Linked DNA regions of Drosophila melanogaster. The protein of the gene in region 1 interacts with the protein of each later gene in a pairwise test. Each region holds a gene or a part of one and is shown in the gene's direction. Other genes may lie near its edges.

The links. Proteins that work in one complex are often made in the same cells at the same time.
Region 2: the proteins of s-cup (region 1) and MCPH1 interact in a two-hybrid assay, tested with the Drosophila melanogaster proteins (one large-scale study listed by BioGRID).

The regions. Positions count from the first base shown.
Region 1 is NT_033778.4:12,494,099-12,501,717, forward strand, and holds s-cup (stanley-cup), read left to right. Parts: upstream 1-1,573; 5' UTR 1,574-1,739; coding exon 1,740-2,101; intron 2,102-4,179; coding exon 4,180-4,330; intron 4,331-5,856; coding exon 5,857-6,954; 3' UTR 6,955-7,361; downstream 7,362-7,619.
Region 2 is NT_033778.4:11,900,885-11,905,642, reverse strand, and holds the start of MCPH1 (microcephalin), read left to right. Parts: upstream 1-1,724; 5' UTR 1,725-1,869; coding exon 1,870-2,062; intron 2,063-2,104; exon of another isoform or gene 2,105-2,179; coding exon of another isoform or gene 2,180-2,231; coding exon 2,232-2,478; intron 2,479-2,802; coding exon 2,803-3,024; intron 3,025-3,092; coding exon 3,093-3,285; intron 3,286-4,248; exon of another isoform or gene 4,249-4,655; coding exon of another isoform or gene 4,656-4,758. Other genes in the region: reb (rebuf), read left to right, coding at 1-248, 365-737, 799-803; Zip48C (Zinc/iron regulated transporter-related protein 48C), read right to left, coding at 4,656-4,758.

The DNA.
Region 1 (7,619 bases):
AGGCATTTATGCGGAAATTGGTTCAACATTTAGCAACAATATTGTGGCGGATTTTTGGCGAGCTGTTTGCATATGGTGAGATGTCTAATATATGGGGCACATCAAGAACGATTGTGGTTGCATTGTGTTTTCAACGATATATTATGCTAAGTGGCATTCATGCGTTCACCTTTATCTTTAAGATTCTACTAAACGTAGAATTTTTACATTTAATGATACACACTTCTTAACCCATATCTTAACATTTCTCAACCAATTCGTTTCTTAAAAGTGCATATAAATGCAACAGTTGAATTCCCTTCGGCAACATAAGTGGCTTGCATTTTTTTTTTTTTGCTGCATCACGCATACGCAGCGTGTGCCGCGAAGCAGCATGTTGCATGCTCAATATGCGCGGCATGGACTGTTGCTTCTGAGTCGCATTATTATTTATGGCCGCATGCCGTGAAAAATGTCAGTTGGCGACAAGTGTTGTTCAAATGGCATGCACGGTTGCCACAACAACAGCAGCAGCAGCAGCAGCAATAATGACAAACCATACGGGCATACAAAAGCATTTGGCGCTCAATTTGACGTGAAACGTGTGGAAACCGAAGGAGAACTTGGGTACGGGGAAACTCAATACAAATAGCTCTGCCTGTCCTTTGTCGTCGACATATCCTTTTGCCACCCACCAGTGCCGGCGGACCGAACACCCCAAACCCGAAAAACCGGAGAGGGAAAGCCACAGAAAAATGGGCAACGCAACGTGGAACAGGCGAGCAGCAGCGAGCAGAAGTAACCACAGACATCAGCAGCTAAACAGCCGAAGTGCTGAGTCCAAGCCGAAGGCTGGCCCGTTCGGTTGCCAAGGCAACTTCGTCGGGTTCACAACAAAAGGATAAGCCAAGCCAAAGTCCTCGGGACAGGACGACCAGCCAGCCAGCCAGTAAACTAGTCAGCAAGTCAAGCCGGAGCTCAGTTGCAGCAGCGCAACGCATTTGCCCAGACGCACAACTCGCGGTTCGCGGCCAAAACTAAGAGTTACGGAAATAGACTTGCCTTGGCCATCGATCGTTCTACCAGTTACACTCAGAAAAAAAAAAGGCTATAATGGCTTAAAGTTTTAAATGCATTGAGTTATGCAAACAATGTGGCTATGAAAAAGTGTTAATTCCTTAGAAAGGAAAAAATCGTATCGAATTCCAAACCTCTTTGCAAGTTCATGATTATAGTGCATTAAAATAATATATATATGTACATAATACTACATAAATAATAACATATGATAGATAAAGGTGACGCAAATTTAATTTCAACTGTGAAAACTATTAAAAGAAAATAAATAAACTTTAAGAAGATATTAATGAAATATATCCTCAAACTTACTTAATCCATAAATTTGTATGAAATTCGAAAATAAATATTTAAACATATGACAAGTCAAGGAAACTTTTATAAAAAAGTATTAAACTTGTGTTTCGTTTAGTGTTTGTGTTAGTTTTAGTCCAAAGTTTTATGTTTGACTCGGTGCTGCTGTCGTGCTGAAGTCGCCGTAGCCTTCGGCTCGTCGATTTGCGAGGGCTAGCTCCTGGCAGTCGCCTTTCGTCCTTGCTGCGGTCTAGAGCCGAGGTATTCGCTGTTAGCCAGGCTAGATGCGCCTCCTTCGGGGCTGAAGTGTGCGTGCTAATGGCCATGTAATGAGTGCGCCGCGCTAATCGTTATGCAATCGCCGTGGCTCGATTTCCACTCGCAGTGAAATGTCTCTCAAACGTTATGCAACTCTGCTGGCCTTTGGTCAAAATCAGAATCAGAATCACACAATCCCGGCCACAACAATATCGCTGGTTTCCACAACGGAACCACCATTGCCGCCATCATCATCTTCGTCAGCGTTTGGAAGTTTCGTCAGCGAGGAACAGCTGCAGTCCCAGGAGCATGTCTCATCCTCCTCCTCGATTGTCACACACACCACCTACTACACCGGCGGATTGGGGCAATATCACCAGCAGCGCAGTGGCTCCGGATCCGTCATCTCGGGCGTCGGTGGCGGCGGAGGACCTAGTGGACCCCAGACATATGCAAATGTTGTCAACGGCAATGTGAATCTGCTGCTCGGCGGGTAAGTCTGTCCTGCCAGTTGGAACATACGACTGATGCGAAGTTCAAGCGATAAGTTAAGTCACCTTTTGGCCCGTGGGAAATGCGAAAGAGTGTCTGGAAGTTTTGGCAAATAGCTGAGCATTCCCCTCAGTCATTTGGCAATTAATTAATTAGAGTTGCCAAGAAAGTTCGCCCAAAACAATTGGCTTCGCAGCTAACGAGAGCGGAATTGTTCAAGTATTTACATTTTAAAGAAGCTCTCTTCAGTATTTTTAAAGGATACCGCAATCATTTCATATAGATAATTCATACGAAATGTGGCTGTCATTCCAGCTAATAGTTTACTGCCACAAGTTAGTTTGCCATTCAATAATCAGAGCTAACCACTAAGTTTTCGTTCGACAACAAGGAGCATCTTGAAAATTCCAGTGAAATGTTTGCAGCAAGTACCCCTTTGGTAAGAACACTCAAGAAGCATATTACAAGATACTACCATAGATCATAATGCCTGGCACCACTTGATTTATGGGAAGGAGCTGCGAATTAATAAGCATCAACAGCAAGAGAAGATGTCAGGCTTCCGCTCTTCTGCGCTGAAAATCATAATTATAATTGTGCCGGGGCATTTTTTTACTTTCGGTTTTGCTTCGTCGAAACCCTAGCATCCTAGCACTGGCTTTGCTTGTTAATAAAATGTAAAAAAAAAAAAAAACTTTCATGTGCAACACGAGCTATTCTATTTTTTCGGAGTAACCGCAGAGCAACAAAGAGGTTTTGTAAACACGCTTTTATGGGGTTTTCTTAGTGTCTGCAAACATCACGCGCGACCCACACAAGCCAAAAAAAAAATTTATTTTAACTACTTTTTTATCGATTGTCTTGGGCAGTTCATTGAAAATAGCTAAAATAAAAAACCGGAGTGGGGGAAATCGCTGTTGTCTGTTTTCGTCGCTGCGGAATGGGAAGGCCGGAAAAGCTGAGCCCCCCAAAAAAAAGGGCCCTAATGAACTGTTGACATGCGAGAAATTGCGTGAACCGGGAAAAATGAACAGCCAAAAAAAAAAAACAAAAAAAACGAGCGAGAGAAAAATCGGAGGACGTACGTGGGCCAGTGGAAGACAGTGAACAGACAAGTGGGACACAATGTTGCATTCTAAAGTGGATTAAGTGACGTCATGGAAATGCCTGGAGCTACGAAATCGACACGACACGAAACCATTTCCGACCAAATAAACCAGTGGGTTTCAATAAACCGACATAAATTGGCCGACAGCGCTAAAAGGAAAATTTGATAACTGGCAATCCAGTTGATAGTGGTGGGGTCATTTCGGATTTATTGACGAATTAAGGAACAGATAGAGCTACACCTTTCCGAATTCACTGATACCAGCTATGGGGAATTTGTTGACCAAATTTCAAGGCATATTGTGTTTGTTTAATAAACAAAAGCACTTGACATAATCTGACTATTCTAAGCCACCTAACGACAGACAATTAAAATTTGATAAATCCATAATATTAGCTCTTTAGACAAAAGGCGAAATGTGGAATATTATTAGGCTAACACACACATTCTCCAAGCCGATTTGAAATGTGTGTGTGTGTGTGTGTGTGTTTGTGGCAGCTTAGTTAAATCGAGATAATTGGCAATATGCTCTACATTTCATACTTGCGAGCATTGAAATTGCCCTTTGTTTGGCTGCAAGATGAGTTGGGAGTCGAATTAAAAGCCAAAACTGCATTATCTAATTAAAACCGAGAAGGCAAGAAGAGTAATTTCCGCTACCATGATGTATAAATGTCAATATTTCGTGGCAAATTTATGCTATCAAAATGCTGGCAAAGCCAACCCAATATAAATAAACATACAAGCACTAGCAATTTGTATGGCAAAATTAATAAATACCGAATGCGTATTAATACGTTATTATCGCACTGGTCATTTATCGAAGGCCCGCAATCAATTTCGTGTCACCAGCCAAAGCAAATAAATATGTTTGAATGTTGGCCTGATGTCTGTTTCGTCGTTGGAATAACATTATAACATTCAATGAATAGCATTGCATTCACATCCCCGTTCGATTTAATTTGTTGCAGAGCAATGCTTTCCCTGGTGACGACTATATTGTGTGTGGTCTGCTATTGTTGCCATCGCAACATCAAAAAGCGAACGGAGGCCGCCTACAGGCAGCAGCAGCATCAGTGGCTCGAGGGCGATCCCAACATGGAAATATACAGCGTGGAGCAGGTGAGTTGGAGGAGCTAATACGAGTATATGCTCAAAGCCTATGCATAGATGGTCCATGATGCCCGGGGTTCTGGCAGAGAGCTTTGTTGTCCACCCAGCCATAGTTGCAAACGGATGTCAACGGCATTCCAAGTGGATGATAGTTGGGCCACAATGGAAGTGGACGACGGACATCATTGCTTATTCGGGGGAAACCAGAATTTTATTAATCATATCCAGTAATGGCAGTATGTGCTATTTACTTCTCTTTGGTGGTTCAAATAAGTAGCACACATTCCAAACGTGTGTGAAAAATGGGAGAGTAAGTCTGGCTCTTAAATAAATAAAGTTATACAAGTCCTAGGCTTACATTAACCAGATTCAAAGCATGCTAAATACCTAAATGAATGGCAATTTATCAGTGATTGGCTTGTCAATTTGCTTTTGTCAATACGAATACAATTTCAAAGCGATCAAATGCTAAAAATCAATTAGCGACTATTAAGTTTAAGTGCTGGCTGAAAAGAGTGCAAATATATACATATATGATATTAAGCAAACTACACAACAAACTTTCCAAGCAAACAATTTAGTTTTTTCGATTTCAGCTTTCAGCTTCAATCAAATCAGCCCAGTTTTCCAATTGGTGGCCGAAATCACAATAATAATAATAATAATATCCACCATTCTGATGTTTTAGGCATTTGGGCGCTAGAACAACACACAATCCGGCCATAATTGTCCCTTTTCAAGTGTAAGCCAACATTTCGTGGCGACAGTTTGAAAGTAAGTCGAAAACTGAAAGTGCGGGAGAGGATGGAGCAGCAGGAGTGTAATGGATATTTATGCGCCGCATTTAACAGGTGCCACATCCGGGGGAAAGTGGGTTCAGTTGACCAAAAGGGCGCGACAATTGCGGCTGGCCATACAGCCAGCCAAGCCAGTGCAAGTGGCCCAGAAGTCGCACTCACTTGGCCGTGCTCTTTATTAGGTTACGAGCCGCCTTCCCATTCGGCCCACAATCCACCGACCAACCCGCAAACCAACCAAACAACCATCCAACCACCCACCAGCCCCACCATAGGCCATCATTCAGTTCATTGTTGTTTGTTGGCCCGCTGGGAAAGGGGGGTGGGGGGAAAGTGGCGGCAAAAGGCTCCACGTAAATCAACGTTAGTCTGGCCAGGCACAGATGTCAACTGCGGACAGAAGAAGGCGGGTTTCTAGCACGGGAGCATGGGAGTGGCAATAGGAATGAGAATGGGATTGCAGATTGCGCGGCAGAGACAAATAAATTTATGATGTGTGCAATTTAAACTTTTTATTTGATCGCGTAAATTTCACTTGTCCACCGCGTCTCCATTAAGAAAGTAATTTACAGAGCGACCAAGCGGAGATCGGCAATTAGTCACGACCTTGAGAGTTATATACCAGCTCCACATCAGGGAAAAATTACATTGCTTTTAGAAAATCAAACCTTACAATCTTTGCAAATTCCTCTTTTATCCTCCTGCTAATCGATTTTAATTGTTCGTTTAATCCCTCAGTGCTACGAGACTTCTGGCCTGTTCCTAGGCGACTCCACTGATGGTCTGTCCGCCGTGCCCGCCTTGCACCACGAACCACCGCCCTCGTACGATGCAGTGGTGCTGCACGAACAGCAGCTCCACCAGCAGCAGCTGGAGCAACAGCAGCAACAGCAATTACAGCTGCAACTGCAGCAACAGCAACAGCTGCTGATGCAACGCGTCTCGCCGCCGCCAGGATACCGATCCTCGTTGGACATCAGCGGCCAGCCGGCAACGAGCTTCGGTCGCGGCACACCAGATGGCAGTGTGGATGCGGTGGCCAGTGGCAGTGTGCAGTGCGCACCAGGAGGTTCCAATGGCCTGCTGGTCAACAAGCAGTTGCAACTGGCCCTAAATGCCCAATCCTGCTGCTCGCTGCAGCGGGCCGAGGTGGAAAGCATGTGGAATGCTGCTGCGGCGGCGGTGGCTGCCCGGAACGGAAATTGCCTGGAAATGGAGACGCTGCAGGTACGTAAGCCGGCACAGAATGTCAGATTGAACACCTTCGGACGGCGGTACCTGCAGCAAAGCCATCAGCATAGTGCAAACCACTACCGGCGTGGCTGTCCGCTGTGCGGCAAGTTCCGCTATGAAGGTGAGGTCGATGATGAACCACTGACCGCTCTGTCCGTGGAGAGCGGTCTGAACATGGGCGGGCGCAGGGAGGAGGATGAGCCGTCTATCTGCCCCTGCCCCAGCGACATCGACAATGGCAATGGCAACCACATTTCTGGTGACGATCTGCAGGATGAGGCCAACGGCAATTTTCTGGCCGCCACTCTCGATGAGCAACCTCAAAATGATGCCGTGCTCTTTTCCATAACTGCTGCCAACGATGAAAACGACAACGCAGCAACATCGGACACACCATCAACTTCCGACGCACCAGCAACATCCCACGGGCAATCGGGGGAGGATGAGCTGGCCACAGGCCAGCAGAAGGAGCAAGAGGAGCAGAACTTGGACAACATCAACGAGAATGGAATCATCAGCCTGGACATGAGCAAAATCATCGATAGATCGGGGCTGCCCACATACGAGGGTGCCATCAAACTGGAGTCCAGTGGTTATGTGTGAGCCTAACAAGCAGTTCACATTAGTTGTATGGCTGCAAACCGAAACCTAAACCACAATCGTGCTTTAACTATGATTAAGATAGGTTGAGATTGGTGAATTCATGTGTTATTACTGCAGAATAAGAAACTAGTTTAGTTTTCAGTTATTTCATTGAATCTCAACCACCTAAAAAGATGGCTAGAATCTTTCTTTGATATGCTATGAAAAGCACACTTACTTTAGGTGTTTTTGAGTTAAAAAGGTTGACAAAAATATCACGCTCTCAGTACAGAGAAAATAACATTTTAAGCAAAACGGATAACAATAATTTTAACGTTTAAATGTTTTAGAGCTAAGCCAGTGCATATCCCTGTAAATGTTCGTGTCAAGTACTCGTATCAATAAAATCAAAAATTGTAATTGAACGCAACAAGCGGTTTAATAAGCAACCTCAATCCGCAACCTTCGCCTTATTCCACGCGAACAGTTTTTAGTTTAGAATGCTCGGCTGGGCGCAATCCGATTGATTTTGCATTAAAAACGGAGGCGGGAAACGCAGGCGGGATGATAAAAAACGAAAGCAGAGCAAGAAATGGCATGCAAACAAATCGCCAAAGCCAACGTCTAACAAGCGGCAAGAAAACAGCAACACCACCCAACCGCTCGCCGCCCGTCACCACATTTTC
Region 2 (4,758 bases), 590 kb from region 1:
CCATGGACATGCTGAGGAGCCGCCTCCAAACGATTCCCAAGTCACTGGATGCGATGGGCATGCGAGTGCCGCTGACGAACAGCAGCGAGGATCCATACTCCACCATCGAAAGCCAAGTGGGATTGATCTATCCTACGCCCGCCGCGTCGGATGATTCCCAGAACTCCCAGCACTCGAGCAACTCCAGCAAGGGACGGCGCAGCATCTTTAGTGCCGCCTTCCTCAACGAGGGTCCATATGTGCCCAAGGTGGGTTCTAACCTAGATTACATTCTACCTGAAAAATTTGGGACTTCAAACCTTTTAACCTGTTTGGGAAAAAAAACTTAGCCTAATAATTCTTATTTGCTTTTTACACTTTGCAGCCCGACTACGAATCTGGCGGATCTTTGACGCCCATATATGCGGACAAGAAGCGACAGAAGAGCAGCGGGTCGCAGCAGCGGAAGAAGCAGGATGATCCGTACTACTGCGGACTCTTGGCGCGTATTCCCAACTTCATCAAGTCCTCGAAGCAGCCGTGCCCTGGAGGAGCCAGCAAGCCCAAGAAGGAGCCAAAGATCTCGCGGAAGATCTCGGCACAGCACCAGCAACAGCAGTTCCTGCAGCCGGCGCAACCCATTCCCATTGCCACATTCCACCACTCGTACTTCCCCTACAAACTGTATCCACCGCAGCACCGTCTCTCCCAGTCGCAAATGTCCCTCTGGGATGCACGTAGTCTGATCAGCGCACATGGTAAGTGACCACTTAATTTGTTAAGTGTATCTCAGTTAATCAGAACATTTCGCCATTTCAGAATGATCACTTTGGCTGGCCCTAATTTATTCATCGTCTAGCGTTAATTCTAAAATTATTTAGTCAAAGCCTACGATTAAGTTTGGTCAGTGAAGGATCATCGATTCACTGGATCACTGTGGAGTGCATTTCGCTCAGTTTTGTGATAAATGCAGCGAAATGCAGCCATTTAGCGTACGTCACTTAATACGCACTAACTCTAATTAACCGCAGTTAACTTTAAGTCAAGCAGAGAGATTTAATGATTATGCAATTTGTAATGAGTAATTAAAATTTTGCCATAGTTTCTTAAATCGTTTAAGACTGAGAGAATGTCCTAGAGCCCACGATAAGCGCACGGAGAGTTTGGCTGAGATTCAGGATGGGGGCAGATAATGTCATATGCAAATTAATTGCTACTTTAGGCAAGTTCAATTTATTATTTTCTTATTATTTTTCTGTACATACACTTCATATGTAAATAAGATCAAATTAAAAACATGTAATCGATATTAGTACGCATTAAAAAAGAGTTATGAAAGTCAATATAAGTGTTTTACTTTAAACGGGTTACAATCTACGCTGCTGAAACTGAATAATAAAGGTATTTTGTATAATTGTGTGTAGTTTGATTTTCATTTACGAGAACATTTAAACATATCTATATCTATATATATTTTCCGACATTTTTGCATTTACTAATTGTGTTTAAATATCGGAACTTAAAATTTATTAAACTGCTTTGCCTCTTTCTAAGATAAACATTGGTGGTGAAAAGTAAACCTGCGCTATCACAAGATTTTTTGTCTCCTAAATTAAATACATAATAAAATGCCGCCAAATTCGTCATCGAACTAAAATCTTAATGTACTAAACGGAGACCATATAAAAACAATCGATTTTCGGTGAGAACGATAACCGATTGCCAGTGAGTGATCTTGTAGCATTGAGGTTACCCGGTCACACTATCACATTGTGTTGCACTTTTTGTGAGGTTTGGATTAGAAAATTATTGGCGCCTCTTTTGCAGAGTTTTGCGACCGACTTCATTGCAATAAGGAGCGCCAGAGTGCGGAGAACATAGCCCGTGACCATGGACAAGTTTCTGTTGCGCAATCCCACGTGGAAGACGAAGACGTACGGATCGGTCGTGGCCAGTTCCGCCGCAGCTGCCAAGAAAACAGCGGCGTCATCGACCCGCCGACCGTTGCACGATTCAAATCTGGGCGACTTCAGGTCCAAAGCAGCGGCACCGTCTCCCAAATCTCTATCCCAGGCCCCGGCAGGTTGGCTGTGCATGCCTATTTTACATTTTGAACACCCAACCCAGTAGTTTTAGTTCCGGATACGTAGCTCACCCAAAATTCGTAGTATTCAAAAAAAAAAAAAAAAAACAGATTACCATGTCGACAAACGAACCGAGCATTACTAACAAGTTGCGTTCCCTCCTGCTAGATGACCAGGCGGCCAGGGATCGGCTGATGCTCAAGCCGGCATTAGCCGTCTCCAAAGCGATCAGCCAGCACCGCTCCGAGTTCCACCAGGACGAGAACGAGGCGGGAGCAGAAGGATCTGCAGCAAAACCAGATCCACCCATCGGAGCAGCCACGCCAACCAGGCAGGAAGGACACTGGGCCCGACTGCAGCAAGATCTCAACAGCCCCAACGCTGCACTCCGATTACGCGCCATTCGTGCATTAAAGTAAGGACAAAAATTGGTTATTGCAATTGTTATTTATACAACCTAAAGGTCAACTAGTGAAAACAGCTCAGATTCTTGACTAATCCATCCTTTTATAGCCATTTTATCGCTAATTTTGTAAAGTTAGATTCTTTAGATGCAATCCCTAATAATTCCATATCCATCAATAACTATTATATTAACAAGCCAGGTTTTTTTGCCAAAACCAAGTATTGATTATTATTATTATTAATTATTGTTTTGCAATGCAATCTAATCTGATTTGAGAAGAAACTGATCATAATAAAAAAAATGCATTCGCTTTTACATTGTATACATTTTTAGAAGCCCCACCAAGTCGGCATACAATACCTTCGATGTGCCTTTAGCCGAACAAAGCATCATCACGATGGAAGAACGCAATCCCCAGGAGCCGCCCTCCCTCCCCGAGTTGCTCAAGGACATAGTCGTATATGTGGAGGTGCGAACTGGAAACGACAATCGCTCTGAGGGCGTAAAATCAATTATTGCCAAGATGGGAGCCCAGGTCAAAGATCGCCTAACGCGGTAAGCTAAGGGATTACAATTGATTGACTAAAATATATTCAATTAAACATTTTTCGTTTGGCTTGTAGAACCACCACACACGTTGTCTTCAAGGATGGCCTGCTCTCCACCTATAAAAAGGCCACCGAGTGGAATATACCAGTCGTTTCCATTCTGTGGATTGAAGCTTGCAAGGTGCAGCTGAAAATATGCGATCCCAAGCAATTTCCAATCAGCAATATACGCATGTACGAGTATCCCGAGCTCTTTGGCAAAATGCCGGTAAGTTATTACTAATTGTGGCTTCTGTTGCATCATCGATCTTATTTATATATTCAAATGGGGATAAATGGGGCTTAAGAAGATAACTTTTAATTGTCACCATTCGGCTTTATAATTTAGCTTGCCTTCTCATAATACTAAGCTCACTGCAAAATACCCAATAACACATTGCAAAAATAGGCTTGTATGTACGTAGATATTAAAAGTTGACTTATCAAGGTCTTCATACAACTTTTAATATTCTTATCATATCATTATTTGTTAGGCCTAACAACTTCCCAAAAGCTTTATCAGATCTAAGACGACAATGTACTTTCGAGTTCATCAACTCTGCATTACATTTTGGTTGGAAATGGCAGCTTTAACTTACACTTCGATTACAAAAGAAATAGGTCTTTAATTAGTCTAATCGTTGACACTATCAATTTATGGCATTGCGGACACAGAAGCATTAACTCCACTTGAGATATGCCCCCAACTAATAGGCCATTCATACCGAGTTTATGGTTTTATGGCGCACATAAAGAACTATATGGAAATTGTACAACAGATAGCCGGCAAGAGGTCTTATCGACCACTTTTCCTGATGACCACGATCACAGTGGGTGGACTGTGGCCCAAAGCACTTGTGCGAGTACAAACATACATATCTGAAATGATTAGTTAATCCAGAAAATGGCGAACAGAAACGCAGGACCGCGGGCCGTCTGAAACTGCACGTATCTCAAACACGGAATACGCGCAATATTGGGAACTCTTCGTGTCGGACAGATTCTTATCACTTATCACTGGCTGACAGCGAGTCAACCAGCTGTTGTTGTTGTTGGCACTCCGGGTTATCTAAGTGAATTTACTTGCCCTTATCAGCTATCGTACGGCCAAAGAAACGGTCAGGAAGTTGTCCGGACGGAGACAGCTACATTTGTGAGGGAAAAAAGCGAGTGGGTGCAACTGAGAGATGTTCATTTGAATTCGTTTAGTTTATTACTTAGACATTAGACGGTTAAAAAAGACACAAGCTACTGGACGCCGGTGACAACTTAAAACCTAATTCACATGCACGTTTGTTTACAAATTTTCCTAGAACAGTTCATTTACATAACTCGCTGGGAATGCTGTACAGATACGTGTGCACAGATACACAATTGCACGGATGTCGTCGCGGCATCGCTGGTTGTCAAGCTTCTTTCTACAAAACTTACACTCTACGCTAGATTATTAGATTCTCGTTTAGGGCTGGTTCTGAGATTTGTACACAGCATGCTTCTATTTACAAGACAGCAGAGTTTTGCGTTAAGTACAGTGGAATCTTTGAGTTTAGCACTAGATTATGAAATCTGCGAGGCGGGCGAAGGCGAGCCGTTCGTTCCTCACGACAGCGCCACCTCCAGACACATCATGATCAGGAAGCCGGATACAGTGCCCCACGTGGCGATCGTTCCATTTCCGCTGGCATGAGCCTCCGGCAGAATG